Linked DNA regions of Diceros bicornis minor. The protein of the gene in region 1 binds, or shares a complex with, the protein of each later gene. Links are inferred from orthologs where the notes say so. Each region holds a gene or a part of one and is shown in the gene's direction. Other genes may lie near its edges.

Evidence for each region.
Region 2: the proteins of SLF2 (region 1) and SIMC1 are in contact, whole or in part, in a cryo-EM structure (PDB 7T5P), measured with the Homo sapiens proteins. The link is inferred for Diceros bicornis minor from reciprocal best matches to the Homo sapiens genes SLF2 and SIMC1. Residues at the interface, in NP_060591.3 of Homo sapiens: His738, Val772, Leu775, Lys778, Asp783, Phe786, Gln790, Gly791, Phe792, Thr794, Ser795, Ala796, Tyr797, His798, Tyr799, Cys820, Ile821, Gln825, Ser828, Met831, Glu832, Ile835, Arg836, Asp838, Thr839, Ser841, Asp842, Ser843, Pro847, Lys919; in NP_001295125.1 of Homo sapiens: Tyr426, Arg428, Leu431, Lys435, Leu438, Pro440, Val442, His443, His444, Leu445, Phe447, Gln448, Arg470, Arg471, Phe490, Asp493, Pro497, Val521, Asp522, Lys525, Glu526, Tyr528, Met529, Met532, Lys533, Gln536, Leu537, Arg571, Asn658, Gln661.

What each region holds. Positions count from the first base shown.
Region 1 is NC_080745.1:66,118,291-66,133,307, forward strand, and holds the start of SLF2 (SMC5-SMC6 complex localization factor protein 2), read left to right. Parts: upstream 1-7,800; 5' UTR 7,801-7,936; coding exon 7,937-8,076; intron 8,077-10,648; coding exon 10,649-10,692; intron 10,693-11,197; coding exon 11,198-11,925; intron 11,926-13,291; coding exon 13,292-13,349; intron 13,350-15,017. UniProt on the Homo sapiens protein: Plays a role in the DNA damage response (DDR) pathway by regulating postreplication repair of UV-damaged DNA and genomic stability maintenance.
Region 2 is NC_080740.1:89,505,312-89,520,613, forward strand, and holds the start of SIMC1 (SUMO-interacting motif-containing protein 1), read left to right. Parts: upstream 1-7,847; 5' UTR 7,848-7,915; coding exon 7,916-8,044; intron 8,045-15,302.

The sequences.
Region 1 (15,017 bases):
AGAGGTGTCAGTGATGAGGTCCTTTGGAAGGGAGATGAAGGAGAAATGAGCAAAGGCTAACAGAAATACCAGAGGCTATCTGGCAAGGTCTTCATTGAAAACAATTACTCTAACAGTGTAACTTTTCATCTAAAACCATTGGTCCTTTTATTTTAAGATAGATAGATAGATACAGAGATATATGTTTCTTTGGAAAAGTAATATATGAACGTGGTAAAAATATAAATTTCACAAATAGGGGAAAACTTCTCTCCAGAGGCAACCACTGTTATGAGCTGCTTTACCTATGATCAAGCCAGACACTTATAAGGACCAATGGCCAATGTCTGTCAAAAATATAAAATGTGGGGCTGGCCTAGTGGTGTAGTGGTTAAGTTCATGCATTCCGCTTTGGCAGCCCAGGGTTCGTAAGTTCAGATCCCAGATGTGGACCTACCCACCGCTCATCGAGCCATGCTGTGGCTGCGTCCCACATATAAAATAGAGGAAGATTGGCACAGATGTTAGTTCAGGGACAATCTTCCTCAAGCAAAAAGAGAAAGATTGGCAACAGATGTTAGCTCAGGGCCCATCTTCCTCACCAAAAAAATAATATATATATATATATACACTAAATTTATTCATATATATTTATATATACATATGAAATGTACATGTTCTTTGACCCAGGATTCCCTTCCCAATATATCTTTGAGATGTACTTCTATGTTCACAAAGATGGATATATAAAGGTATTCATTGCAGCACTGTCAGCAGCATAAGAATGAAAGGGAACTAACTATTCCAGCAATAGGGACTACTTAAGTAAATTATGGCGCATCCCTACAGTAGAATACTATGCTGCAGTTAGAAGTCACTTGGAAAGCACAGCATCCTTCCAGAGATAGTCTTGGCATATACACGCACATAACCCCTTTTATTTATACAAACAATAACAATATATGTATACATTGTAGCATATACTGTTCTGCAACTTAATTTTTTCATTTACTATATCTTAGAGATTATTCCATACCAGTTTATATTGTTAACACGTGTCAAGAGTTCAGCTACACTAACATTGCTGCCTCGGCATCTATTTTTTGTGTGGCTAAGCAGCCTGCAGGGGCCTTGACCTGACACTAGCCCTCCCAAGTGCATGCCTAGATAACAACTTGCAGAGTCACAAGTAAATGTAACTTTCTGATATAACTCCTGGAACAGCCCTTGTGGTCAACAGTCTCACCCTGCCTGCCAGGGCCTTTTTCTTGTGCACTCCTTAATAAGACCCCTGCAGAGCTTACCAAAACCTGGCTCTTTTTGGTTTGAATTGATGAAGCTTTAGTCCAGTTACCCTGAAGCACTCCATCCATGGACCCTAGTAAAGCCATGTGCCCCAGGTCCTGCAGCTATCTCTCTGCCTGCACCCTGCCTTGAACTCCCCATGTGGCCCCTCAAGGCATACCATGTACTTTCTCCAGGACCTGTGAGTAATAAACTTCTCTATTTCAATTTCCCTTGTGGTCTTTTGTTGACCGTGGGCTCACCACCCAACATCCCACGGCTCTACTTAACAAATGTTAATTTAACGAAGTCACAGTAACAAGTAACAATAGCTAAACCATATACTTATTATATGCCAGTCACTGTTCTAAGAGCTTTACTTGTATTAACTTATTTAAAACTCACAAAAATTTATGAGGCAGGTACTATCATCATCTCCTTTTACAGATGAGGACAGTAGCACAGAGAGGTTAGGTAACTTGCCCAAGGTCACAAATCTGCTAAATGGCAGAGCTGGAATCTGAACCCAGGCAGTAGGACCCTAGGGCCTGCACATTTAACCACAACACATCCTGTATATCTAACTCAGACTTCCTAACTGCAGTATTGTATGGATGTGACATAATTTATTAACTAGTCCTCTATTGCTGGACTAGTTAGTTCCCTTTCAGTCTTTTGCTACTGACAGTGCTGCAATGAATACCGTTATAGATCTGTCTCTGTACATTAGAAGGGGAATTGCTGGATCAAAGGATATGCACATTTTATATTTTTGATACATACCAGCATTTGGTCCTTTTCAATGCCCATAGATCTTTTTTTTTTTTTTTCTTTCTGCTGGGAAAGATTCGCCCTGAGCTAACATCTGTTGCCAATCTTCTTCTCTTTCTTTTTCCCCCCAAAGCCCCCGTACATAGTTGTATATTCCAGTTGTAAGTCCTTCTATTCTCCTACGTGAGCCACCACCACAGCATGGCTACTGACAGACAAGTGGTGTGGTTCTACACCCCAGAACAAAACCCAGGCCACCAAAGTGGAGTGCACTGAACTTGAACCACTGGGCCATCAGGGCTGGATTGTTAAATGCCCGCAGGTCTTGATCAGCAATTTCTTTCACTAAGAACGCCTGAGTGAGAATCCTGCCTACTCCCTGTAACACTCCTCTGAACACCAAAAGCACTCATTCTTTGCAATTCTTTTGGTTCCAAGAGACATTCCCTTTAAGAGAGCATAATCTCACAGAAGTATAGAAACAAATGTGAGGGTACATAACAAAACATCTAGGCAGCTCAACTAGGAGGCTGCAGGTTCCTCCTGCAGGTCTGTGTCGTGTTCCCCCCAACCACTCCTGGGGTTTGACGCTGAAAGAAGGGAGGAAACACTGGGCCTACACTCCCACATAGAAACTATGGCCTGGAGATGCTGTCCCCATTTAATGGGGAATGTGCCCTCCGGTTCTCCCACAGTCCACCTCTCTGCTCACTGAGGCTGAGTTCCAGGTACCATTTATCATCATTCTTGTGTAAACTGAGCAAACACCACCATTTCCTAATTTGTAGGAATGTGGTGAAGATTAAATGGTTCAGTGATCATAAAGTGCTCAGAACAGTGCCTGACCCTGGTAAGACCCAATAGGTATTTGCCATCATTGTCATTGTTGTTGTTAAGAAATATTTCTCTGATCTCAACTCTCCGTAAAAGATAGGGAAATGGACCTGATTCACATACCTTTATTATCTACCTAGGCCCTGTTGGCATGAGCATGAGACCCCTCTTGGGATGTCTTGAGGCCAGAAATCTAGAATTGTGTGTGAAATCTCTTGATTTTCAAATGTTGCCCCACATCTTTAAAAAACTCTTTGGGAACTAAAAGAAACACATCTTCAGCAGGCCGTCTTATCATGCCTCACATAGAGGTTCAGTATTTTGGTGTTGTGGAAATTTACAGCTTAAGGGTAGTGGTGGTAGGAAATGACTCTGAAGAATCAGGTCAGAGCCCAGTGAAGAAAGGACGTATGGGTCATGATAGGTGTGTTGAATTCTGGGAAGAGTATTGCAAATGTCTGAGATTAAATGTATTATTCCCAGCAGACTCTCTCCAGTTCCAGGGTAGTGGGGTTTTATGTGAGGGGCAGGTTGGACAAGAGATATAAGATCTTTATCCTTTTTTGCATCATTCTCCCCTCTCTCTCATTTCTCACTCACAGTCCCTACATTACTGAGGACAGGGCAGGACCTGACAGGGCCACCGCAACTACTCTTCCCCATCTAGAAGCAATTATAGCATGGGAGGGGTAAAGGCAAGCTTCTTTGGAGAAACAGTCTGCCTCCTTCTACAAGTCTCTCCCACTCCTGGAGGGTATGGCATTAAAAGAGCATAAGGAGAGCCTGAGTTATGTCTCTCCCACCCTCCCCACCAGTAGGAGTGACCAAAGGAAGCCCATCTCTTTTGCCCCAAACAGCTTCTGCTGTTTAATGCCACTGATACACAGAAGTGTGAAATATGAATACAGATTACAGCAACGACTTTCAAATGTTTCGACTACTGCCTCTGACAGAGGCCACAGAATATATCTACATATATATACATCACAGTATATGTACATCACTACCGTATAAAATATATATACAACTGAAGAAGTAAGTTTTGCAAAACAACACATACCCATATACTATGTGCAGTACACCAATATTGTCTATTCTATTCTTTTTTTTTTTTTCCAATGTGGTCTGTGGCCCATTATACCAATTTTAAAACCCTCTAATAGGTTGCTAACCATGTGTAAAAAACACCTGATTACAGGCTGGAGTCCCTAAAACCAATATTTCCCAAAGAGTCTCTTATATTTCAGATGTACGAGTAATATCTATCCCTACCACCACTAGTAAACAAGATGACTCTAGAAGAAATGTGGCAATATTTTTTTTCTAGTTATTATTAGTTTCTACACACCTTCCATTTGGCAAGTTATCACTTTCCAAGTGATACTGATTTTCCACTTACGGAAATGATTTTAAGTTTTCATCTAAAAATGTATTTAAGTTTAAAAAGTGATTTAAAGAAAAATATTAAGTAAATAATAGTATAGGAAATATTCAGGTATGTCAAAAATCATAAATACATTAGTCATGTTCTAAAGTGTGGGAAACATTATCTTGCACCATTCCATAATGAAATAACAAGAAACTTACTTTCCTTTAACATCAGATCTGCTTTTGCAGTTTTACTAATTACTCCCAGGAAGTTTAGGTTACATAACATTACTTTATGTTACACTTGGCTTTCCCCCAGCAACCCCTTAAAACCAAGCCAGTGCGTTTTCCAAGCACTTGTAGGGCAGTTTTGAGTTCGGCATCCATTTGCAAAGTAATTTGTGCAGACCTTGAGACTCTGGAGCTTGCCTTCCCTTCTTAACATCATCACGTGGTCCGTCTTTCTCTGTTAGGCTTTCAAGTTAATTATTTCCTGTTTCTCTGAGTCTATTCCTTATCCCCCTTCCCAGGTGACCCTCTACCCTCCCCTCCACACACACACTCTTGGCCAAAGGCAGGCTGCTCTGCAGCAAACCCATCTTTGTCTCCCCCCCGCCCTAGAGCACCCTCCAACAAAAGCCTTGGAGTTTATAGCAATCACAGAGCAAAAGTGCGTCATTACTGCAGAATCAGAAGTTACTTTTAGAGTTCCCTGCATTTTAGTAACATTCTTTGTAACTTATTAATCTTTTGTTCTCTTAGTCCCTGCCTGCTAAGGTACTCTGCCAGACAATCTGCCCAAGTTGTTTTCTCTCTTGGTGACTGCTTGCGATCTCTGGCATCAGTTATACCGCCACTCCTCTCAGGACTCCCACGGTGGCCTTGAGGCTCCCAGCAAACCTGATCTGTCCTTCACGTAACATTGTTTCCGCTGCTGCTGCATCCCTTCCCATCAAGGCTAGAGTTGGCGCTCCTATTGTCTTTAACAACTCAGGGTGCTAAACTAGGTACTATGGTACTACCCCATAGTAGCTTCATGCATAGAAGCCACTCCATCTCAGTGGTCTTTGCTTCCTGCTCCCCAGGCCCAGAAATCTTCTCAAACTAGCCTTTTCTGGTCATCTGACCTTAATTTCTCCAAATTATTTTTCCAATCCTGGCTGAAGTTTTTGTCTTGTCTCTAATTCAGTCTTGTCTACTTTATCCATCATCCTCTCCTTCTAGCCCCACCCCAGTTTTTCTCTCCGCTCGTCTCCCCACGTGCAAATACCTGAGCTCTTTAACATCTTTCACCTAGTGTACAGCTTCCTGGCCATCTATTTCTGGCCCACTAAAAATTAACGTGTAAAAAGCTCTTACATTAACCATGTGTGTGTGTATGTGTGTGTGGTGCACATATATATATACACACACATTCAAAGTGGGAAAAGGGGTATAAACACAAAATAGACTGTCCAACACTCTGGGGGGAAAAGCCTTAGAGGCTCCCCGCAATTCTGGTTAGTATGTTGAGCATATTTTACCATGCAACCCAAATCTGTATCATTTTCAAACGCAGCTTAAACAAAGAAGAGCCTTGATACTGAGGATTTAGATAACTACTTCCCTGTTAAGAAGAGATTTTTAAAATTGTGTTTTCATTATGCCTCCATCTCCATTTATTGATCAAGGGATTTCTTGCCTCACTTAACTCCATAATCTGTTGCTCAGATTAAGAAAATGTGAAAACCATTGTTTGGCAGCATGACTACAGACTTTAAAGTGGTATCTTGGATGCTGGATGATTCAAATACTATAATCCAAGAAAAGCAACTAATTGATCATGCGGAACATGTTTTTATGCATTACTCTTTTTTATGGACTGAGCATGCAATGAAACGAATCAGATTAAATGTTTTGTAGATGTGCTGTTATAGAAGCAGGAATTTACTAGTGTGGAAACATCCAGCAGAAAGCTCTAATACAAGAGATAGGAAATAATATATGTAAAAAGCCCTTAATAAACAAACGTTTAAGTTATTATTTATTCAACACATTTTGAGCATCTATTACGGTCTATGTAAGGAACAATGGTAGATACAGTAACTTCTCAGTTATTAGGAACAGAAAATACCTCTTATTTTAGTATTTCCTTTCTCGCATCACTACTACCCAGGATATAGCTGTGCATATATGCTTTTTGGATGAATGAGAGACCTGTATGTTCACTGTTTACCTTCTACCCTCCACTTTGCCACCTTGTTGGCCATTTTATTCCTCATTAATTCTTCCTCCTGAGGGCTAAAAGGGAAGGAAAGGAGGTAAACTTCAGGTCAGTCAGGCATGCTTAGCTACGGAAGCAGTTAAATCTCAGTACAATAAACTTTAAAGACCTGTCTAAATTCTTTTGTGTCATTTAAGATTTTGTTCCATCCAACTGATTGAACAGGCCTGCCAATTAAAGCTTGGACATCCATGAGATTGATATTTTGGTTAATAGTTACTATAACAGTATCTGACCTGTCTCTGGAAGACCTTGCAGTAAGTTCAAGTGTAAGAGTCTGTCTAAAGAACTAAGAAAAGGGAACACTAATTTGCTCAGTACTTATTACACAAGAGACTCTGAACTGTGCAGTTTACATTGCTTAACTCTTTTATGGTTTACAATTACCCAGAAAAGTAGAATACCCATTTTATAGATGTGGAAACTGAGGCTCAGAGATACTCTGATCAGTCTTTGTAAGGAAAACCCTGGCTAACAGCCTCCAGAGCACAACCCCTTTACAAAGGAAGATTGGAGACTGCTGTTGGCTTTCACTAGTCTATGTGGTCCACACTTATACATGAGCAATTGAAAGCTGACCCTATGTTCCTTTCAAAAATCTCCAAGGAATCTGGCTGCAGAGACTTCATGGATAACTTGTTTCAGCAGCTGAGAAACAAAATGCTTTTGTGGAATCAAAACAGTCTTTATTTCAAGGGTTTTTTTGGGTTTTTTTTCCTTCTAAAAAGAGAAAAAGAATCCACTGCAGCACTTAACAAGAAATCTCACAGAATGGACAAGTCTTCAAATTGGGCCGTGCAGACCACCGAGGAAATGGTGACAGCATTAGGGCACTTCGGCCTAAGATGTTAAGGACACGATGTAATGAACAGCTGGGGATTTCTGAGGCACGATTGTGTGACACAGGAAGCCCAACTGTTGGCCATCCTCGCTGAGGGCAGCTGCTGGGTTCGGGTTTGCTTCTGCAAACCTCGCCCCTTGCCCTTGACCAGGCGGGTGTCGCCAGCTGCCGCAGCGCCCACGGCAACCCGCGCCTTCCCGCCCTCGCGCACCGGCCAAGACAGAGGCGGCCAGGACGCGGCGGCGCGCGGCCCCCAGCGCACGTGACGGGAGGGCAGTTTTCCTTCCTCCCTCCCCCTTCCCGAAACCCCGCCTTCCCCTGAAAGGCTGCGGCTTTCTATTGCTCCACTACTGGAATGACCGCCACGCCAGCCAATCAGAACAGACTCTTCTAGCAAGACCCGCCCCCTGTTGGTCCTCGGGTTCCTTCCCGCTCACACAGGAGTCATTTCCGAAGAGAGGGAACCGCCATGAAGAGAGAAGGGGGTGCCGCCCACCTCTGCTCCGACAGCCTCCCCGAGTCCCAGCAGCAAGACGGCAACCACGCACCCAACTTCTCCAGCCACAGCTCATGCCGCCGTCGCCAGCGGCGCCGACATGACAAGGCGCTGCATGTCCGCTAGGCCAGGTTTCCCCTCATCCCCAGCCCCGGGGTCGTCGCCCCCGCGCTGCCATCTGAGACCCGGTAGTACCGCCCCTGCTGCAGCGGGAAAGAGAACAGAGAGTCCTGGGGACAGGTACCGTGCAGAGGGCTTGAGGAGGGGCCGGGTCGCGGGGGCAAGGGTATGAGGGAGGACTGCGGACGGCCGCTTTTCCAGTTCCCGCCATCCTCTGCGAGCTCGGGCCTCGGCGTTCCGGGCCTGGCAAACCCCTGCCCCGCCTCCGCGCGGGGGCTTCTGGGAGTTCGAGTTTCCTTCTCGTAGTTGGGACGCTGTTCTCGGTCTAATGACCACAGCCGGGACGGCTACCGAGAACTGCCTTAGGTAGAACGTGGTTCTTGTCCCGGGCGATAGCTGGACCGGGGGCCCTAACTGCTGAATGCATATTTAGGTGGTTTTCTGTACGTTGTCAGTTGTACTGAGCCTAGTGGTTGAATAATAGAAACCTTTTTTGTATTATGGGTGAAATTACATAAGAGGTGATGAGGAAAACCCTTCTACGAATTACTGTATAGTCCACTATACACGGTACGCATAGTTAAAAGAACATGCAGATTTGGAATGTGGTATGTTTTCTCCTTCGGTAACTTGACGCCTCTCCGAGAGGCCAGTTTTTTTTGTACAGATTTTGCGGGAGCTATGTAATGAGATGGGGAGTTTCATCAAATGACATCCTCTGACAATAAAACATGTTTAAATTCTCTATGCACTTGGTACTGTCTTTTTTATTTTAAGTTTAAAACTTTGTAACATAAGTTTAAGACTAAATTTATCTTCTAATATTGTGGTTCAGGTCCGCAGTCCCTTATCTTAATTCTGAAAGCCAGAAAGCTATGAAAACCAAAAGTTTTCAGTAAGTTTGGCACCACATCTTACCTGGCAGCCAAACCTGACTAGAACTAATGGAAGACTGTATATGGTCTTTATCCCATTAAGTGTCAGTGCTCATAAGTTTTGCTTACGGGGTGCAGTGTTAGACCCCACTGGGGATTTTACATAATGCATCTAAGAAACCCCCATTCCAAAATCCAGTAAATTCAGAATTCTAAAACACATTTGGCCCCAAAAGTTTCAGATAAGGGTTTATGAGCTGTTACAAATAATTTTTTTAACTAGTTACAAATATAAGTAATGTACATTTCTGTACATATGAACTTAGGGAACTGTTCCTTCTTGAAAGTTACATTCATGCTTATTTTACAGATTTCTTGTATGTTTTATCCAAAACCATTTTTTCCTCTGCTGTATTAATGGAAAAGGAGCCTGGGATCTAATATTTTAGGAGAGAGATAGTGTTACTTTTAGTAATTAATGTAAAAAATAGTATTATCTTGTGTGGAATTAATTAGCTGCTGCTTAATCCTCTCCTATCTCACCTTCCTCAACCAATAACTGAAGGGCATCATCCTTCTCCCCTTTGCAGAACCTCTAGCGTTTCCTCATTTACTCTCTCATGGAGTTAATTTGATATAATTTATTTTCTGAAAACAAAGCATAGATTCTTCCTTAGCCTGTCACTCCTATTCATTTCATAACCACTTAGCTTTTCTAACAACATCTCAAACAAACGTTGTGGACTCTGAGTAAACCATCCGAGATGGGCGTTGCTCTTCTAATGTTACCAGTAGAGTGTACAAAATGTGGAAGGGACTTCAACCTTCAAGGGACTTCGATTGTTCTTTTCTCTGAGTGTTTCGTGGTGGGTAAATGTTTAGGGAACCTCATAGTCTACCGTTTATTGTCTTTCAGTAAAAGGAATACTAGCAAAATTTGCCCGAAAGTTAATTTTTTGCTCTACATGTAATAACATCCCTCTTTATGCATCTGAAAAATTAAATACATGAACAAATCAGAATACAAACTCTGGTAATATGGTCCTATTGCACTTTGTGTCCACTGTAGGGTGCAGAAAGCCTTGAAAATTAAAAGAATTTGGTTTTTGTTCTTGTTAACTTTCTTCTTTTTCTCTTTGTTTTCCCCAGGCAATGCATTATTTTTGTAAATATCTTAAGAATTCTTAGGTAAAAAGTTAAGATTTTGAAACACTGCTTATTTAGTTGTGAAGACTCATTCCAATTTCTGCTGTTACTTGGATTAACATCTCACTGTAGTGTATAAAGAGGGTAGTATAAGCTTAGTACTTGATCCTTTCTGCGTTTTGCCCAGCACACTCTTCAGCTGCCTCCCCAAAACCGGCCAAATCACTCGTATTGCCATTCTACCATCTAATCTTGTTATGAGTTTGCAGCAAACATCTATTGAGCATTATTTTGTACCAGTCACTGGAGATATGAAGGAATAGGATCAGATCCCCTCAATATCTTTTATTCTACTGTGTGACCGCAAGCTTTTCAGTCCTATGAAGCACTCTCCCACTTCCCTGGATCCATACTCCTATCTTATCATTTTAGTACTATAGATTATATAAACCTCAGTTGTTCTTTTATAAATTTACTCCTACAATGAATTATATTTTCAATTTTTTATAATCAGCTTAGCAAAGCATTATTGCCATTGTCAGAACTTGATTAAACCAGATAGTGAAATCCAGCCTATAGTCTATAAATCTACTAGTATTCTCCACTTAATCTGAAATAAGGTTTTAATATTTGCGTATGTGATACCCTATTAGTTATGCTTTTATTTTCAGGAAGCAGTCAATTATAGATTTCTTCAAACCAGCCTCAAAACAAGGTATGGATACTACTAATGCATTTTTTGTGGCATCTTTTGGGGAGGGAGATGGATTCAGTTTTTAAATCTACTCTAAATTCTTATTAATTTGATTAAACGTGTTGAAAATTGAAAATACAGTGAAGATGCAGTGTTTTTTACAAGGATAAACAAGTTCTAAACATCATGAAGAAACTCTTTGCTGTTATGCTTTCTTATATTTATTATTCCAGTCAATAATGTTCATAATGCATACTATTTTGATCCTCTAATACAATAACTTCATAAATGGAGCCATGGGGAGCTTACATGATGTAGCAAAAGGGAGCTTTATGAAAGTAAGGCTATTAACAAATAAACCATGTCTTAATTTCTCCCCCCCATAAAATGTATCATTTAAATATTGATTTGAAAATTTTTGTGATAGTATTTTAAATATTAATAATTGCAATATTTATACACAATGTAATAGTTTGTGTTATTTTTAATAACATGCAGTTTGTATGTGTTTTAATTGGCTCCTTAGACCGACATATGTTGGATTCTCCACAAAGATCAAGTATCAAATATGGAGGAAGTGGATTGTCCACCACTGGAACAGAGCAGTTTGAAAGGAAACTATCTTCACCGAAAGAATCTAAACCCAAAAGGATGCCATCAGAAAAGAGCCCTATTTTAGAGGCTTTCATGAAAGGTGTTAAAGAGCACCACAAAGATCGTGGTATACATGAGTCACATCGGCTTTATGTGTCACTAGCCACCAAATACCCAAAGACGGTCTTTGTTCCTCCTTCCTATCGCTCATCAAAAGAGATGAAGGCACTAAAGAAAAAACATCGCTCTCCAGAGAGAAGGAAGTCACTGATCATTCATGAAAATAGCAGGGAGAAGAATGATAGAGATCGAGGCAAGAACAATGCAGATTCCAAAAAGCAGGCCACGGTGACAGAAGCTGACATCTTCAAGAACAGCTCCAGAAGTCTTAGCAGCAGGGGCAGCCTATCCAGGCACCACCCAGGAGAAAGCCCACTGGGAGCTAAGTTCCAGTGGTCACTAGCTTGTTACTGCAAAGAAAGAGAACTAAAGAAGTTGAGAAGGGAGCAAATGGAGCAGAGAATCAACTCAGAAAATTCTCTCTCAGAAGCAAGCAATCTTTCCTTAAAATCCTCTAGTATAGGAAGAAAATGTAAACCTCGGCAGGAACAAAGTAAACAGAATGATGTCACACCCGGAAAGAGTAATCTTTCAAACCTGGTAAGTGCAGTAATTACTGAATTAGTTTGGGTACTGCTTTATCATATTTAAAATACTAAATGTAAAAATATTTAATAATTGGTGACATCATATTAGTATCTTTTGTTAAGGAAATACTGATACATAGTTTGTGTAGAAGCTGGTTTCATTAGGTTTCTTCCAGCTGTCCATGGAACTCAGTAAAGCAGTATTTCCTGCCCTTGATTTTTTCAGACCAAGAACAAAGATCTTTCGTAAACAGGAAAGTAAGCATTCTTTTTTTAAGACAGGTATAGTCATTTTTTTAATTGGGCTGTGCTGAAGGGAGATACTTGAGAAATGGAAAATCTAAAACAGCAGGAAATGGTTTAGCACAGAGGTTCTCAAAATGTGGTCCCTGGACTAGCAACGTCAACATCACCTGGGAACTTGTTAGAAATGCGGATTCTCAGGCTCCAGCCCAGACCCACTGAACCAGAAACTGTGGAAGTAGAGTCTAGCAATCTGCAATTAACAAGCCTTCCAGATGATTCTGATGCACTTTAAAGTTTGAGAATCAGTGGTTTAGATTATATATAAATCTTAAATAATTGAATATGGGTCTTAGAAAACTCAGAAGATGACTTAGAAAACCATCCAAGTACATCTTAACAACATCAGATTTCTCTTTTGAGAATAGACCAAACTTAAGTTAGCATAAAAGCTGTTCCTCTCTCCTGGAAAGTCAAGTTGTTAACTACGTCTGTTTCAAAGAGTTCTATATACAGAGCAAATAAAGGAAGATCAGATATCAAGAAAGTGCTATTTTGATAAGATGCCATGAGATTTTAAAACCAGATAGCCAAAAATAGACCAAACTATGATGTTCTAGGAGTGAATGGAGATTGTTGCATTGTATATTGCTGGAAAATATATTTGTAAACTCTAGAGTTCATTTGCAAGGAGTTTGGTGCCTTTAGCAGCAAGATTTACTAATGATCAATAGAGGTTAGTAATATTTGGTCCATTTTTGTAAGATCTCAGTATTTGGTGGTGCATTAGTACTTAAACAGAAGTATTGAAAAGTGAGTTGTATCCATTTGATTGGCAGATATTAGGCTTACTATTTCTTTATCAAAATAATAGTACGTTGCTCTAATATAATATTAATCTTGAATTATTAATATAAATCGCTTGCATTTATTGCCCTTCGTTTTTATGCTAAAACTTAAGAATTTAAAATATTTTGTTATAGGAGTTTGAATTTATCTTCAAATATAGGTACTTGCTTTATTCAGTCTAGAAATCTGTTTAAATGTTACGAAGAAAAGTTCACTTTTTTTACTGCCCCTAACTCCTAACTTATTTTTTCTCATTTTGCTAATATTTTTTCTCATTTTGCTAATAGGAAAATGGACATCTCTCAAGAAAAAGATCCTCTTCTGATTCATGGGAACCTGCTTCAGGTAGAATCAAAATTAAATTTATGAATTTTAAGATAAATTTACATCTTAATGGCTCTGTTTTTTAAAGCAAATTTGTTTAAATATGCAGTTTCCTTCCTAGCGGTGAATTGAGTATCTCAGATAGTAAAGAGTTTGGTAAAGTTATATTCAAAAGAAATAGTCCTTGCATTTATTATATGTAACCTGTGGTTTTTCTTGACTCTTCTCTGCCTTCTTCAAGAGTTCCTAACAATGTGTTTCTCATATTGGTAGTCATTGTTCTACTTCTGAATCCTTGGCTACATTAAGAAGCATAATCTTATATTCTTGAAATTGTGGACTAACTATCTGAGGTCTTGGAATTAGAGATGCTTTGTATAAGGTTGAAACATCATGATCCAAAACAGTGTCTCCTAATATTTCAAATACCAAGATCCCTTTTTAATATCAAATTTCAAGGACACCTGTATATTAGTTTGTAGTTTTAGTATCTATTGGTTGAGACAATACGTAATAACAAACAGCTACTGTTAATTCAGTAGTTCTTAAAGTATCTTTATCTTTTTTTTAAATTAGAAGATAGAACAGTGTAACATTCAAACATTGCAGAAGTTTGTAACACGGAAAATGAAAGGCCTCCAGAAATAACAATTGTTAATAGTCTGGTATCAGAATTTTTTTTTCTGCTATGACTGCAAACTTTGAAAAATAGACTTTACAAATTTTCACACTCCGTAAGATACATTGGACATAATGATAATAGCCAGTATTTATTGAGCACTTACTGTGTGCCATACTCTGTTCTATGTACTTTTAATTCATTTGATCCTCACATCCTTATAAGGTGGTTACTTTTAGAGACAAAAAACAGAGGTACAGAGAGAGAGTTCTGACTCATTCTTCCGGTTTCATGTAAAACTCTATTTTTTATATATTCTAGAGGTGCAGTGCATTTTGACCAAGTGATCTCGAGTGTTAAAATCAGTCTTCAGCCAAGGCTGAAACCATATTTTATCATCATAGATGGAGCTTCTAGGATACAGGAATAAATTTGAAATTTTATGTTTTTTAAAAATTTATTTAATTTTATAATATTGTTGATTTTAGTGATCAAATTTTAGTGAATTTTGACATTATATATAGTACAAGAAAAATAATTTCTCAGCCATGAGATTGCTCTTGCACTTTCTCTATTTTATTACACCTTTGTAGTACTAAAATGATCACTTTGTGCTTAGGTGAATGGAAGAACAAAATAATTTTAGGCCAGCTCTGCCAGTGGCTGCTGGTGGTGGTGTTGCCACCAAGCTATTCACGTTTTTTTTTTTTTTCCCTCTGATAATGACTAAGATAAAAATTCTCTTCAGTTCATGGGTTTGCACATTTCATCAGTGGTAATGAAGTGGTTGCATCTGTACAATCCTACATCCTCAGGTCTGAACACTGCTTGAAAAAGATGCTTTCTGCATATTTTCAGAGGCAGACTTAAGATGGTTACCTTCACTTATATTTTTATTTCTCATATTTTTGCACATATTCATAATCCTCAAGAATTATGGTATTGTATTCTTAAGAAATATACATTTATACTTCACTTGACTGTCAACAGAATATAAAGGACATAAGGGGATTTTTCACTCTTCGTAACGTGAAGAATGTTTTATCTTCATCTGATAGTGAATAGATATT
Region 2 (15,302 bases), on another chromosome or scaffold:
GATAGAAATAAGTAAATCTAAGTAATTTTGTATGTTTTGAAGGATTCACAAGAAACTAATAAGGCATTTAGCCTTGGCTAGATGAACTAGGAAAGGGAGGGTGGCTCTCGACTTCGACTTTTTATTTTGTAACTTTTTGTAGCATGACTTTTCTAATCTCATAGATGTGTTTCTTTTAATTTTATAAACTGTTTAGTGTAGGATATCAGGGAGGGGAGAATATGATACACTTGTTTGTTTGCTTCTTTGTGCTTTTCTAAAAAATAAGAAGAGCAAATGTCAATTTTTAAAATACTATTATGAGCCAATAAAATGAATAATGTAGATCTATATTATCTTACACAGAAAACTGTAAGGACATATTGTTTTAATTTAAAAAAACCAATTGCAATACAATGTGCCTGGTATGATTCTATTTATGTAAAATTGTATGCTGCACCTGTGGGTACTGACCACTCAGAGATGTCTGGAAAGATGTTATCAAAGTGTGATGTGGTTACACATTCGCCTTTGTAACCATTCTAAAATTTTTATAAAGACTTTGAAAGCTACTTGATATCTCAGCAAACTAGAACCTGAGATGGAAATGGGGAAAGGATAAGAAAATTATTTAAATAAAGTTAAATACACTGAGAGGCTGCCTACTAAAGCAGCTCAGTGGAAAAGCTAAGAGTGAACCGAAACTGGGAGACTGTACCTGGAATCCAGCAGTGGGGACAGAGTGTTCCCTAGGGCAGAGGAGAAACCTGAGCTGGCTAGCTTTAGCATAAACAAACGCGGGTCTGCAGGCACTGACCCTGCCATATAATGAAAGAAAGAAAAATGAAAGAAAAAAACCTTTTAAAGATGTATATCCACCAAAAAAAATCCCCATTAATAAGTGGGAAGCCCTCTTGCTTAGAACATTTTTACAGCAAATGATGGTTTCAAATCTCCATACTGAAGCTCTTTGGATAAAACTAAAAATATACACCCTTTTGATAAGCATATATGAATATAGATAAACACACAGAAAAGCTCTAGAGAAGTAAACGCGAAGCACTGAAGAGGGGTAATTGGAATCAGGATGGAGGAGGTGGTCAAAGGAGCCTTTAACCTTGCCTATAATTTTTAATTTTTTAATAAAAGGAAAATATTCACTTTTTTTGTTGTGGTAAAATATACACAAAATTTACCACTATAACCATTTTTAAATATACAGTTCAGCGGCATTAGGACAATCACAATATTGTGCAACCATCACTACTATTTCCAGAACTTTTTATCATCCCAAACAAAAACTCTATACCCATTAAATAACTCCCCATTCTCCCTTCCCCCAACCCCTGATAATCTCTATTCTATTTTCTGTCTCTATGAATTTGTCTACTCTAGGTACCTCACATAAGTAGAATCATACAATATTTGTCCTTTTGTGACTGGCTTATTTCATTGAGCATAATGTCTTCGTTTCATCCATGTTGTAGCTTATGTCATAATTTCCATCCTTCTTAAGGCTGAATAGAATTCCACTGTGTGGATATATCCCATCTTGTTTATCCATATACCTGCTGATGAACACCTGGATTATTTCCACCTTTTGGCTATCATGAATAATGCTGCTATGAAGATTTGTGGATAGGGCCGGCGCCATGGCTTAGCGGTTAAGTGTGCGCGCTCCGCTGCTGGCGGCCCAGGTTCGGATCCTGGGCGTGCACTGACGCACGGCTTCTCCGGCCATGCTGAGGCCGCGTCCCACATACAGCAACTAGAAGGATGTGCAGCTATGACATACAACTCTCTACTGGGGCTTTGGAGGAAATAAATAAATAAATAAATAAAATTATAAAAAAAAAAAAAAAAAAGATTTGTGGATAAATATCTGTTTGAGTCCCTGCTTTCAGAGCTTTGGGGCAAATATCTAGGACTAGAATCATTGGATCATATGGTAATGTCTAACTTTTTGAGGAACTGCCAAACTGTTCTCCACAGAAGCTGTACCATTCTATATCCCCACCAGCAATGCACAAGAGTTCCAATTTATCCACATTCTCACCAAAACTTTTCTGTTTTTTTTTAAATAGCCATCCTAATGAGCATGAAATGGCATCTCACTGTGGTTTTAATTTGCATCTCCACATATTTTTATGTATACATTTTTAATTAAAAATTATTTTTAAAAAAGAAAGTAAGGGATTAGGATTTGTTTTCTTCATTCACAAACTAGGAATACCTCCTTCACTGCTAAGATCTGTGAGGACAGAGACCACAGTTGTCTTACTCACTGTTTCATCCCCAGCCCCTAACAAAGTGCCTGGCACCTAGTAGGTACTCAGTAAATACAGTATTCATTGGATGAATAAATGACTGCATTAGCCTCTCAGTTTACATGGAATTAATGTATGATTTGAGGGGAATAAATCTATGAGGAAATGTCATCTTGAAAAATACACACACAAATATTATTCAGCCAAAGAAAAGAAGAAAATCCTACCATTTGCAACAACATGGATGGACTTTGAAGGCATCATGCTAAGTGAAATAATGCAGACAGAGAAAGAGAAATACTGTATAATCTCACTTATATGTGGAGTATAAAAACTTCGAACTCATAGAAACAGAAAATAGAATAGTCGTTACCAGGGTCTAGGCAGTCGGGGAAATGTCATGATGTTGGTCAAATGGCACAAACTAGCAATTATAAGATAAATAAGTTCCAGGGATCTAATATACAGCGTGATGTCTATAGTTAATAATGCTGTAGTGTAAACTTGAAAGTTGCTGTGAGAGCAGAGCTTTACTGTTCTCGCCATAACAACAACAAAATGGTAACTACGTGAGGTAAAAGACCTTATTGTGATAAACATTTCGCAATACGTACTTGTATCAAAACATCACATTGTATACCTTAGACTTACACAATATTATATGTTAATTATATCTCAATAAATCCGGAAAAAAATTAAGACAAGTCACCCAGAAAAAACGAAAAGAAAAATACACACACATACTAATTTCTGAAAAAGACACCATCATTTTGGAAGTCTTGGGTAAACAGCATATTTCAAAACAGATCCAGGACAGGCAAGAAAACAAAATCAAGACTACTTACTGTTTTACGAAAAGCAACTTCAGGGCCAGTATTCATCCATCTGGGCTGCCAAATAAGGACAAGGTACATTTCAAGTGTACTCATATTACACAACCAGGACCCTGGTTTCCTGAGTTTCAGGCAGGATGGCTGATGAGAAAGATATATACAGTCAGAACACTGTTATATTCCTAAAGTCATATCACTATTTTTATGATTGAAAGTCAGTTACTAATATTAATCACTTTATCATAAATTCTGCAAAAGTAGATATTTGAATTTCTTTCCAATTCATTCATATATCCATGGATGAACATTACTTACTGTAGATGGCCACCATCCATTACCTCTCCCCAGCTGAAGAAGATGGGGGCCATTCAACTTGTTCCCTCATTCCCTTCCTACAAGTTTAAAGTGCAGCAAACTTTCTTCTCCTCACTCCGCAAGCTGAGAACTTGTCTGAAAGTCACCAAACCGTTGACCTGGACAAGCCCCTGATGCCCCTGGGGGCGAAGGAAGGAAGGAGAGAGATAATTGGTGCTGAGAGAGAGGCACCAAGACGGGAGCTGCCTCCCTTCGCTTCTTCCTTGAATCATGCGTGTAAATTCTTCATGTGTGAGTCTACTGGAGAGTACAGAAGGTGGCTGAGGCTTAAGGCTCTTGCTAGCACTCCCCAAGAAGACCCTCCAGACAAGGATCCCCAACAACAAAAGGCTATATTTTAGATTGCCCCTGGCAAGGACTGGTGGGGATGTCTGAGAAGGGGGTTGAGACTGACCTCTCCTAGGTTAGGGAATGCACAAGGGAAGCCCCAGAGAGCAATAATGTGCCCAGTCCAAATAAAAGAGCTGGCATCTGGACTCCTGACACATTGGGAGAACTGTTAGTGAAGTAACAACAACCAGCAGAAAAAGAATAGACAACTTTTCATGGACAGTCTTGCAGAGAACATTCTTTCTCCCTCCTCTTCATCCCTACTTGGGAGGAGCAAGAGCCAAGAAGAGAGAAGGAAAACGACATTACCACCTCCTCCACTAAGCTGTTGCAGCCACAAGTCCTCCTGCACCAGCAGAACAGGAAGAGCTATGAATTAAACATGAGATTAAAGATTAGAACCGGCCAGCCTAAATCAAAATACTTGGAATGAGACTGTATTAGATACTGAAAGTGACTGCACAGTTATGCGACCAGAGTAGGAGATTCTTAAGGGAATCTGCTATCCAGAGAGCAAGAGGATTTCTAGAGTGGGTGGTAATAGTTGTTGGGGAAAAAATTAAATTGTTTTATATTTATATCTCAAAAGTTAAGACTTCTCAAACTGGTTATATACTTATCATAATTTATAATTATTTACTAGTTTTTTGTCTTCCCCATAAATTATAAGCACCATGGATCAGAGACCACGTCCATGTTGTTCACTATTGTGTCCCTTGAGTACAGCATATGTGCTCAACAACACTTTGTTGAATGAAGATTTCTTATCTTTTAAAGACACAAACTGAAATGTCTACAGAATAAACAATTTGATGTCTGCGATTTACTTTAAAATAATTCAGGAAGGTGAGGGTGAGAGAGTAGGCGGAAACATAAGTAGAACAAGATTGATAATTCTTCAAGCTGGATGATAGGTACACAAGGTTCATTATAATCTTTTTTAACTTTTTAAAATCAAGGTAAAATCATAATTAATTTTCTTAATTTTAAATTTTTTCTCAACGTAATATGAAAACATTCAAATATACATAAAAGTTAAAAATGAACACCCATATAACTACCATGCAGATTTGACAATGTTAGCATTTTGTTATATTTGCTTTACCTGTATGTATCCATCTATACATTTATCCATCTTATTTTTTATTTATTTTTGCTTGAGGAATATTGTCCCTGAGCTAACACCTGTGCCAATCTTCCTCTATTTTGTATGTGGGATGCCATCACAGCATGGCTTGATGAGTGGTATGTAGGTGTGCACCTGGGATCCAAACCTATGAACCCCAGGCCACTGAAGTGGAGCACACAAACTTAACCACTACACGACTGGGCCCGCTGCTATCCATCTTATTTCTGATGCATTTCAAAGTAACTTGCAGACATCAGTACACTTCACACCTTAACACTACAGCATGCATATCATAGAGTTCAAAATTTTTTCCATTTCTTTTTTTTAAGGTAAAATTTACTTACAGTGAAATGTTATACTTATATGTTACATATATAAATACGTTATAAATATACATATATGTGTTACATATATAAATATAATCTTTATATAATCTACAAAAATACATATATATTCATATTTAGAAGTTTATAGTGTGAAATGTTTGCATGCCGCCAAAATTCACATATTGAAGTTCTAACCCCCAGTGTTATGGTATTTGGAGATGGGGCCTTTGGGAGGTAATTAAGGTTGGATTAGAACTTGAGGATGGGGCCTTCATGATGGGACTAGGGGCCTTATAAGAAGAAGAGATTTATCTCTCTCACCCACTGGGGAAAGGCCATGTGAGGAAGTAATGAGAAATCTGCAACCCAAGGAGAGAGTCTTCACCAGGAACCGAACTGACCAGCACCTTGATCTTGGACTTCCCAGCCTCCAGAACTGTGAGAAAATGAATTTCTGTTGTTTAAGCCATTAGTCCACGGTATTCTGTAATGGCAGCCTGCACAGACTAAGTGGTATTAGGAAGGCACTGAAGGGGGCTTGATTACATACTTTCTTAAAGATAACTTTGGCTGAGGGTGGAGGAAGAAATGAAAGAGGACAAGAATAGGTTCAGGAAGACTGGCTAGGAAGCTACTACAGTAGACTGGGCCAGAGGTGATCTTAACTTGCCTAGAATCATAACAGCAGAGGCCAAAAGAAGTGAATGAATACAAGAAATATTTAGGAGGTAAAATAGGACTTATTGATGAGAAAAAGGTAGACATCAAGCATAATGCTCAGATTTCTCACTTGAGCAATTGCTGGCTATTGGTAACACCACTCACTGACACAGAGAACACAGAAGGAAAAGCAGGCTTTTTTAGGGGGGAAGTGGGGAGTAAGTTCAATTTGAGACATATTCAATTGGAGATGCTTCTGAGATTCAATAGACATTTGGATATATACATCTGGAGCTTTGAGGACAGGGCTGGGCTGGAGATAAATCTGTGGGAGATATCAGCATAAAAATTATCATTAAAGCCATGGGAACAGTTGAGATTATGTAGGGAGAAATGTGTGACCTATGTCAGAACTCTGAGGAACATCAAGATCTAAGGAGTGGGTAGGGGAGCAGGAGTCAGCTAAGGAGACTGAAAAGAAGTGGTAAGAGAGGTGCAGTCACAGAAGCCCAGAGAAAACAGTGTTTCAAGAAGCAGGGAGTTCAATAAACTAAATGTTTAATGGCACTTAGTGAAGACAACTTAATGAATCCTTTCACAAGGATGATTTCAGCCATTCGACCAGAACATCTGAAATCTATTGGCCCTATACTCCCTGTCCACCAGACCAGTGCTTTCCAATGTGTGGTCCCTAGATTAGCAGCATCAACATCACCTGGGAACTTGCTAGAAATGCAAATTTTGGGGACCCACTTCATAACTACTGAATCTGAAACTCTGGGTTGGGGCCCAGCAATCTGTGTTTTAAACAAGTCTCTTGGGTCATTCTGATGCTCACTAAAGTTTGAGAATCACTGCACTAGACACTGCTAGATAGCACCTGATAACTATTCCTTTAGGAACCAATCCCCCTTCTAATAAACACATTTTCCTTTGGATCTGTTAAAACATTTCACCAAGTTGCTGGAGCCTGAGCAGCAGGATTTTGTCAATACCCCACATTTGTTGTAACACAGATCCTATCTTGATTTTAATGTTCCTGCCCCACAACCAACCACCTACCACTTCTCCCTCTACTGAGTATATCTTTTTTCATCTTTTTAACTTTGCTCATTCATAACATCTAATTATTCACGGAGTCTGCTACCTCATGGATTCTCTCCTGCATTTTTCAGTTTCTGCTACCAACTGAACAAGTCTCTAAATCTCACAGTTTAAATTCCTCAGTGACACAGATCGTTGGTGAAACTGTAAATTGGTACAACTTACGACAGCAATTTGGTATCATTTATCGAAACAACAACAGAAACATTGCCTTTGACCCAGTAATTCCACTTCTAGGAGTTTATCCTACAGACGTACTTGCACATGTGCACAAAGAAGCCGGGCCTCTCTCCCCCAACTCGGCCAGAGGCCAGGACACCTACCTTCAGTCAGTCAAGGGCAGGGGCACCCACCCTCAGTCAGTCGGGGTCCCCTCTACCCCGTCAGTCAGAGGCCAGGCCATCCGCCCTCAGTCAGCCGGGGTCCCCTCTACCCCGTCAGTCAGAGGTCTGGGCCTCTCTACCTCGTCAGTAGGAGGCCAGGTCCCCCACCCTCAAGGGCCCCTCTCTCCCAGCTCAGTCAGAGAGACCTGTTGACACCTCGCTTCACACTTCAGTCAGTCGGAAGCAGATGCGGAAGCCCTTGAGGCCTCAGCGTCTGGCACTCCCGCCCCCAACACGGCCCAAGCCGGCTCCAACTTGATTCTCTCTCTCATTTTTCCTCCTCGGGAAAGGAAGACGGGTACCACCGCCAAGCACGTGACCGGGACCCTGACCCTCCCGCCGCCCGCAGCCCGCCGTAGGCCGCCGGGGGGCGGAGCTCGGGAGAGGGCGGGGCCGGGGGCGGGGCCGGGGGGGATGGCCCCGGTTGTCGCCGCCGCCGCAGCCTCAGCAGTAGGAACCGAAGTCGCCGCCGTCGCCGCCGCCTGGGTCGCCGGCCGCCCGCGCGCTGGCTCGGCCGGGGCCCGCAGTCATGGAGGACTTCATCGTGATCTCGGACGACAGCGGCTCCGAGAGCTCCGGGGCGGCCCGCTCGGTCCGGCCGCGGAGGCTCCGCCGGGCCCTGTCCCGGACCCCCGGCGCGCTGCCCCGCCGGACGGTGGTGAGTGAGCGAGCCGCCGTCCGCCGAGCCCCGCCGCGGCCAGAGCGCCGCCTCCGCTCGGCCCGCTGCCCCGGCGCCCCCGCCGCCCGCCCCCTGGCACCTCACAGCTGCAGCCGCTTCCCGCCTTGCCGCCTTCCCGGCCTCCCCGCCCGGAGGAGCGCGGCGGGCCCGGGCTGGGCGGCCAGGCCTCCGGGCTCCGCGCTCAAGGCCGAGCGGGCTGCGGCTGGAGAGCGGCGGCGAGCACATGGAAGCGCCCGGTGCGGGGGTGCCGGAGCCCCCGGCAGGCGGCAGTCTCAGGCCGGAGCCTTGGTGGGGGCGGGGGCTGGGGGTCCGGGACAGCGGGTCCTCGGGGAGCCCCAGACCTCGAGGCAGGGACGCAGGAACGTGTAATTGTTTGGCTTGTGGTGGGTACACGTGTGTGCAGGGAGGTAACAGGAGTCCGGGCTAGGAGGGAGGGCAGCAGGGCCTGGGCCAGATGGTGGCCGCGCTCCAGGGCCTGGCGGCCGAGCGAGGGGCTGGATTTCGGAGTTGTGCAGGAGGCTGATTTATTTCGCTTAGCAAACACTTACCAAGCTCTAAAGGAATAGGGAGGGAAACATCTTGCACCATTTCTTTTTCCCTTAGGTTCTTTAAGTCTTTGTCCTTCTTCCTGAGGTAGTGAATAAAACATCTATGGTTCCTGCCTTTCTAGAATCCTCCATAGATATTTATTGAATCTCTACTGTGAGCCAGATGTTCTAGGAGGCAGGGGAGGTACAATGGAGAACACAACCCCCGTGGTCCCTGTCATAGAAGGTGATATATCCAACAAGTGGCTATTGAGTACTCAGGGGGCGGGAGGCGGGTGAGAGTCTCTCAGAAGACTCTCAACATCAGACTTCCAACAATCTTCCCAGCCCGCCAGAGCCACACCCCAGAAATAAAAGAATTATCACCCTGATGTTATTTGTATAGCTCTGTAATGCACAGTTTAAGGAAAACACCTTTCTTCATATGCAAATCCTCCTTCAAGACAAATCTCCTCGCTTCTGCTCCTCCAATCCCCTTCCCAGCCGGTTTGTAGTCCCTAAGCCCCCTCTGTGATCCCCTTCTGTGTCTCAGGTGTAGTGCTAAATGCTAGGTGGTCACTATAGAATGAATGGCATGCAAAACCAATTAACCTATAGTGCCCTGTTACCATGGTTCAAGCAAGAGAGATTCTCAATAAATCTGAGTAAACAATTTAGATGAGATGGACACGTGGACAAGGTAGAAGTGACCCAACTTGGCAAGTGAATGGATGTACCCAGTGCTGCGGCAGTGTGGGGGATGTAGTAGAGCCACAATAAATATTTGTTGGATGAAAGAATGGTTGAAGGAATGGGAGAGAGAGCAGTTCGGGTGGATGTTTGGTAATTGAGAGTGAGTACTACTAGAGGAGAGCAGGCTTGAGGTTGAGGGGATGCTGCATTCAGTTTGGACCTACTGGATTTAAAGTGCTAATGGGAAATGTATGTGGATGTGTCCAGCCCAAAGAAATTGATCTCTGGAGAAAAGTCAGGACTGGAGAGATTTGGTAATCATCCAAATAGAAAGGAGCGTCTAAGGCCTAATGGTGGCTGAGATCATCAGGGAAGAGTATAGAGAGGAAAAAGGTGGAAGGAAAAAATACTGCAGAATAACTCAACTGCCTTTCCTCCTGATTCCTCCTCTTTCCTATTGCCCATTCTTTTAGTCCCTCTTTAACTTCATCCTTCCTACTGGCTTCCTTTCTTCCTAGGTCTTGTCCATCTTCCCTCATCCTGGTCCAGCTTCCTTCTTCAGATGCACAGATATCATCCTTAACCCAGTCTGTTGTGTCTGTTGTGGTCCGTCACGCACACACGGGTGCACTCTCAAACTGCTCCCCTCCTCTATGACCACCCAACCAAGCATTTTGATCTTGAGCTTTTTCAAGTTGAAGAGAAATGAGGGGCAAGTTCCAGAGAGTAGTACCCAAGGTAAATCTTGCTTTTCCAGATACTTACTCCAGTTTTCTAAAAACTCCAGGCTTGTTCTTTTATTTTTCTTGCAAATTAGATAATGGTGGTAGGATAACCATGTAAATGATCAGAGGCATTAAGAGACTTGCATGGTTATAAAGCCTAAAGCACTTTAGTCTATCCTTTCCTGAAGGCCCTGAGGTCAGCGAGACCTCTGTTCAAATCAGGACACCCCCCCCCCCCCCATAGCAGCTGTGTGAACTTTAGCAAGTTCTGTCACCCCTCTCAGCTTTTGCACTTGAGAACAGTAATACCTATCTGGCAGGACCAGGTTTTTAATGAGGCAATGCAAGGAAAATGCCCAGCATAAATGATAGCTTTCGTTAGACTTTGTGTTGTTTCTCAGCCAGGCCTGACCTTCTTCAGCTTGGCAAGCAATGAAATAAAAGAAACAAGTTTTAGATTTTTTTTTTTTCTTTTTTACAAATATTGGCTCTAAAGGGGAGACAACTTGCTTGAATTCAGGAAATCAGAAAGCCATCTCCAATACTGTAGTTGACATTTCTGAATTCCTGGTTCTTAATCTGGGCTTTAGTCTTCATTAAGTTGATGAAGTGTGTCTTTGTTTTCGATAATCTTTATTGCTTTTTCTTTTCCACTTATTAAAGCGAAACATGTTCAGATAGTCAATTAATTTTGGTTGTGCTATTAGAAAAAATTTAGAAATGTATAAAGAAGAAAATTAAAATTGTCCTTAATCTCACTAGCCCAAGATAACCAATGTTAACTTTTTTGGGGGAGAGTGAGGAAGATTAGCCCTGAGCTAACATCTGTTGCCAATCCTCCTCTTTTTGCTGAGGAGGATTGGCCCTGGGCTAATATCCATGCCCATCTTCTTCCACTTTATATGTGGGACGCCTGCCACAGCATAAGCCGTGTGCAGGCCTGCGCCCGGAATCCGAACCCACGAACCCCAGGCCGCCAAAGCAGAATGCGAGAACCCAACCACTACGCGCCACCGGGCCAGCCCCGATGTTAACATTTTGATGTATGTCTGTCTAACTTTTATCTGTAAATGCATGTGTGCTTGCGTACATACCCATGTGTCCCCGCATACATGTTTTTGGAAAAATGAAGTCTTGCTATATATGTGGTTTTTTTAGCTTGCTTTTTTCTTGTAATGTGCTTTTTATCTCTTTCCACTAATCGTATCGTATTTCCACTAATAAATACGTCTTCACCAATATTTTTAATGTATTTTATTGTACAGATGTATAATTATGTTATAATCTCCTATTAATGGATATCATGCTGGTGTTTCTAAATTTTCTCTGTTATAGACAACCTAGTGAGGAATTCTCTTATAAATAATCTTTGTAGCCTTGTTCATTTGTTTGTTTAGGATAAGTTCCTCTTAGAAGTGAGATTGCTGAGTCGAAAGGTATGCCCCCCTTTAAGGGCTTTTGATATGTGTTGCCAAATTTCCTACAGAAGTTGTGCATCAATTATATTTTCACCATATCCCTTTCTCCACTACCTAGTCACCTCTAGATATCATCAATTTATTTTGTAAATATTTATTGAACACTTACTATATGCCAAGTACTCTTGTAGGTGCCGAGAATACAGCTGTGAACAAAACCAAGTCCCTGCGCTCATGGAGATTTCATTTTAGCTGGGGAGAAGCAAACAGTAAACAATCACATAAACGTATTGTCAGGTGATATACAGAGTGTTAGGAAGAAAAATAAGGCATTTTTATTCTTTGAATCTTTACTGATTTGATAGCCATATTCTATGAGCTGTCATGTTTGAATTTTTTTCTTTGGTTGTGATTCATTTTTTCAATAAATACTATTGAGCACATGCTCTGACCCTGGGGACTAGAGGTAAACAAGATAACAATGGACCTACATTCTAGTGAGGAAAGACAAGCAATAAACAAATAAGTGAACAATATAACATGGATGAGGTTGGGAACATTAGATTGTGTTTTCAAAGAAGGCCTCTTGGAAGAGTTAACATTTAGTCTGAGACCCAAATGACAGAACAGATTTGTTACGAGAAGATCTAGGGGAATAAGGTAGCAGCAAAGGGTGCAGCAAAAACAAAGACTTGGAAGTGAGTTTGGGCATGACTTATTGGAAGAATCAAAAAGCAGATGGGTCTGGAATGGAATGAGTGAAGGACAGAGTTGGAAGAGATGAGAAGTGGGTGGGCTAGGTAATATAGGACCTTGCAGACCACATAAGGAATTTGGATTTTATTCTGTGTAATAAGAAATCTTTGAAGGGTTTTAAGCAGGGGAATGATGTGATCTGATTTATGTTTTTGAAAGGTGACTAGCTACTGTGAGAAGAAAAGACTGTAAGGTAAGGTGACAATATAATTGATCATCCAAATGGGAATCCTTTTGTGTATGAAAGGGGGTGCTAACTGGAGAAATTGTCAAGCAACAAGTGAAAACTGGAACTGTCCTAAACCAGAAATATAGTCACCTTACTGTAAGGGGACAAAATTGGAATCAGGGAGATCAGTCTAGAATGTCGCTACAGTAGTCCAGACCAGAGATAATTGTAGCTTAGACTAGAGTAGTGGTGCAGGCTAGGAGACTGGAGGGATGTGGGAGATATTTAGGAAGTAAAATCAACAGGTGAGAGAAAGGGAGGAATCAAGAATGGTGCCCTGGTTTTGGCCTGAGTGACTGGATGCATGTTGGTGTCATTCATTGAAATGAAGAAGACTTGGGGAAGAACAGAGTTGGAGGAAAGACTCAAGAGTTCTGTTTTGAAGGTGTTAAATTTAAGATGCCTGTGGGATAGCTAACTGGAGATGCCAGGTATGATATTTGTGCTGAGTTTGGAGGCCAGGGGCAAAGTCCTGAATAGGGACACAAATTTGGTGTCATTAGCACATAGGTTGTAGTAAACTCATTGACGTGGATGAGATCATCTAACATGAGAGTCTACAAGAGGAAGAACATCCAGCACCCAGCCCGGGTGAAGGCAAGGGGAGGAGGAGCAGCTAGTAAGGTTGGAGGTCAAAGTGTGCTCAGCATGTAGTACAGCCAGACATCTTGCACATGTTTATTGGGGAGATCTGTATATTGTGTGTGTGTGTGTGAATTGCCTGTTCTTGTCCTATTGGGGTGTTATTTTTCTTACTAGTTTGTAAATTTTACTTACATATTAAAGAGTCTTTATGGGTTGAATTGGGTCCTCCAAAAAGATATGTTGAAGTCCTAACCCCCAGTACAGAATGTGACCTTATTTGGCACTAGGGTCATTGCAGATGTAATCAGTGAAGATGAGGTCATACAGAGTAGGGTGGGCCCTTAATCCAATATGACTGGTGTCCTTATAAGACCACATGAAGACAGAGGGAGAACGCCAGGTGACAATGGAAGCAAAGATGGAAGTTGTGCAGCTGCAAATCAAGGAATACCAAAGAGTGCTGGCGACGAGAGAAAGGCACGGAACAGATTCTCCCCTAGAGCCTGCAGAGCATGGCCCTGCAAGACACCTTGATTTTGGACTTCTAAGCTTCCAGAACCATGAGAGAATAAGTTTCTGTTGTTTTAAGCCAGCCAGTTGGTGGTAATTTGTACTAGGAAACTAATACAGCCCCCTGTATCATACATGTTACATTTTTTCCCAACTTTTGATTTCTTTTGATTTTCTTTACAGAATTTTTAAAATTTTATGTAGTCAGTTCCGTCACTCTTTTCAGTTATGATTTCTGTCTTTGTTGTCATGCTTAGAAAGGCTTTCTGCACTCAAGATTATAAAAATATTTTTTACGTTTAATTCATTAATCCACCTGGAATTAGTTTGAAAAAAGGGAAATGGTAATCCAATATTTTTCTCTCCAGATGGTTAGCTAGTTGTCCCAACATCATTTATTGAGTTATCCATTCTTTTTACCCAGTGGTTTGAAGTATTATTTTTATCAAATGGTAAACTTTTATATATTTCTTTGTCTTTTTGTGTACTTTCTGTTCTGCCCTGGGTACATGCTGTTTTAATAGTAAGCAGAGGAAACTCTTCATTGCTCTTCTTTTTTAGAATTTTTCTGGCTGGTATTGCATGTTTATTCTTTCAAATAACTTTAAAATCATTTTTTTCGATTTGCAAATAATTTCTACTTTTAAAATTGGGATTACACTAAATTTAGAAATCTGTACTGTGTAGTATTTTACTTAATCTAACTTTACATTTTTATGTATGCATTTGTGCATCTGTTTTCTTTTTTTTCCCCCCCTTTTTTTATGTTTGGAAAGATCATTCCTGCCCTGAAATTATTTTCGTTATTATTTCCTTAGTATTGTTTTTTTGCTATCTCATTCTTAGCACTTAGTTCTTTAATTCATCTGAAATATCTTATATGGCATTGATTGTGCTTGACATTTACCATATACTATATTGCCCTATTTCTTTTTTTTTCCCTCCACCTTTCTTTTTTTTTGTATTGTGAAATTTTTGTTGTACATTATTGTTTATCAGTCACCATATAACTGCATCCCTCCACCCCTTGTGCCCACCCACCCCCCCGCCCCTGGTAACCACCAAACGGTTCTATCTGTGCGTGTGTTGGTTTATCGTCCACATATGAGTGAAATTCTGACCTGTTTGTCTTTCTCTTTCTGGCTTATTTCACTTAACATAATACCCTCCAGGTCCATCCATGTTGTTGCAAATGGGACGATTTTGTCTTTCTTTATGGCTGAGTAGTATTCCATTGTATATATATACCACATCTTCTTTATCCAGTCATCAGTCGAGGGACACTTGGGTTGCTTCCGTGTCTTGGCTATAGTGAATAATGCTGCGATGAACGTAGGGGTGCATAAGCCTCTTTGGATTGTTGATTTCAGGTTTTTTGGGTAGATATCCAGTAGTGGGATAGCTGGATCATAAGGTATTTCAATTTTTAATTTTTTGAGGAATCTCCATACTGTTTTCCATAGAGGCTATACCAGTTTGCATTCCCACCAGCAGTGGATTAGGGTTCCCGTTTCTCCACAGCCTCTCCAGCATTTGTTGCTTTTTGTCTTGGTGATTATAGCCATTCTAACAGGTGTAAGGTGATATCTTAGTGTGGTTTTGATTTGCATTTCCCTGATGACTAGTGATGTTGAGCATCTTTTCATGTGCCTATTGGCCATCTGTATATTTTCTTTGGAGAAGTGTCTGTTCATTTCCTCTGCCCGTTTTTTTTTTTTTTTTTTTTTTTTTTTTTTTTTTTTGTGAGGAGATCAGCCCTGTGCTAACATCCGCCAATCCTCCTCTTTTTTTGCT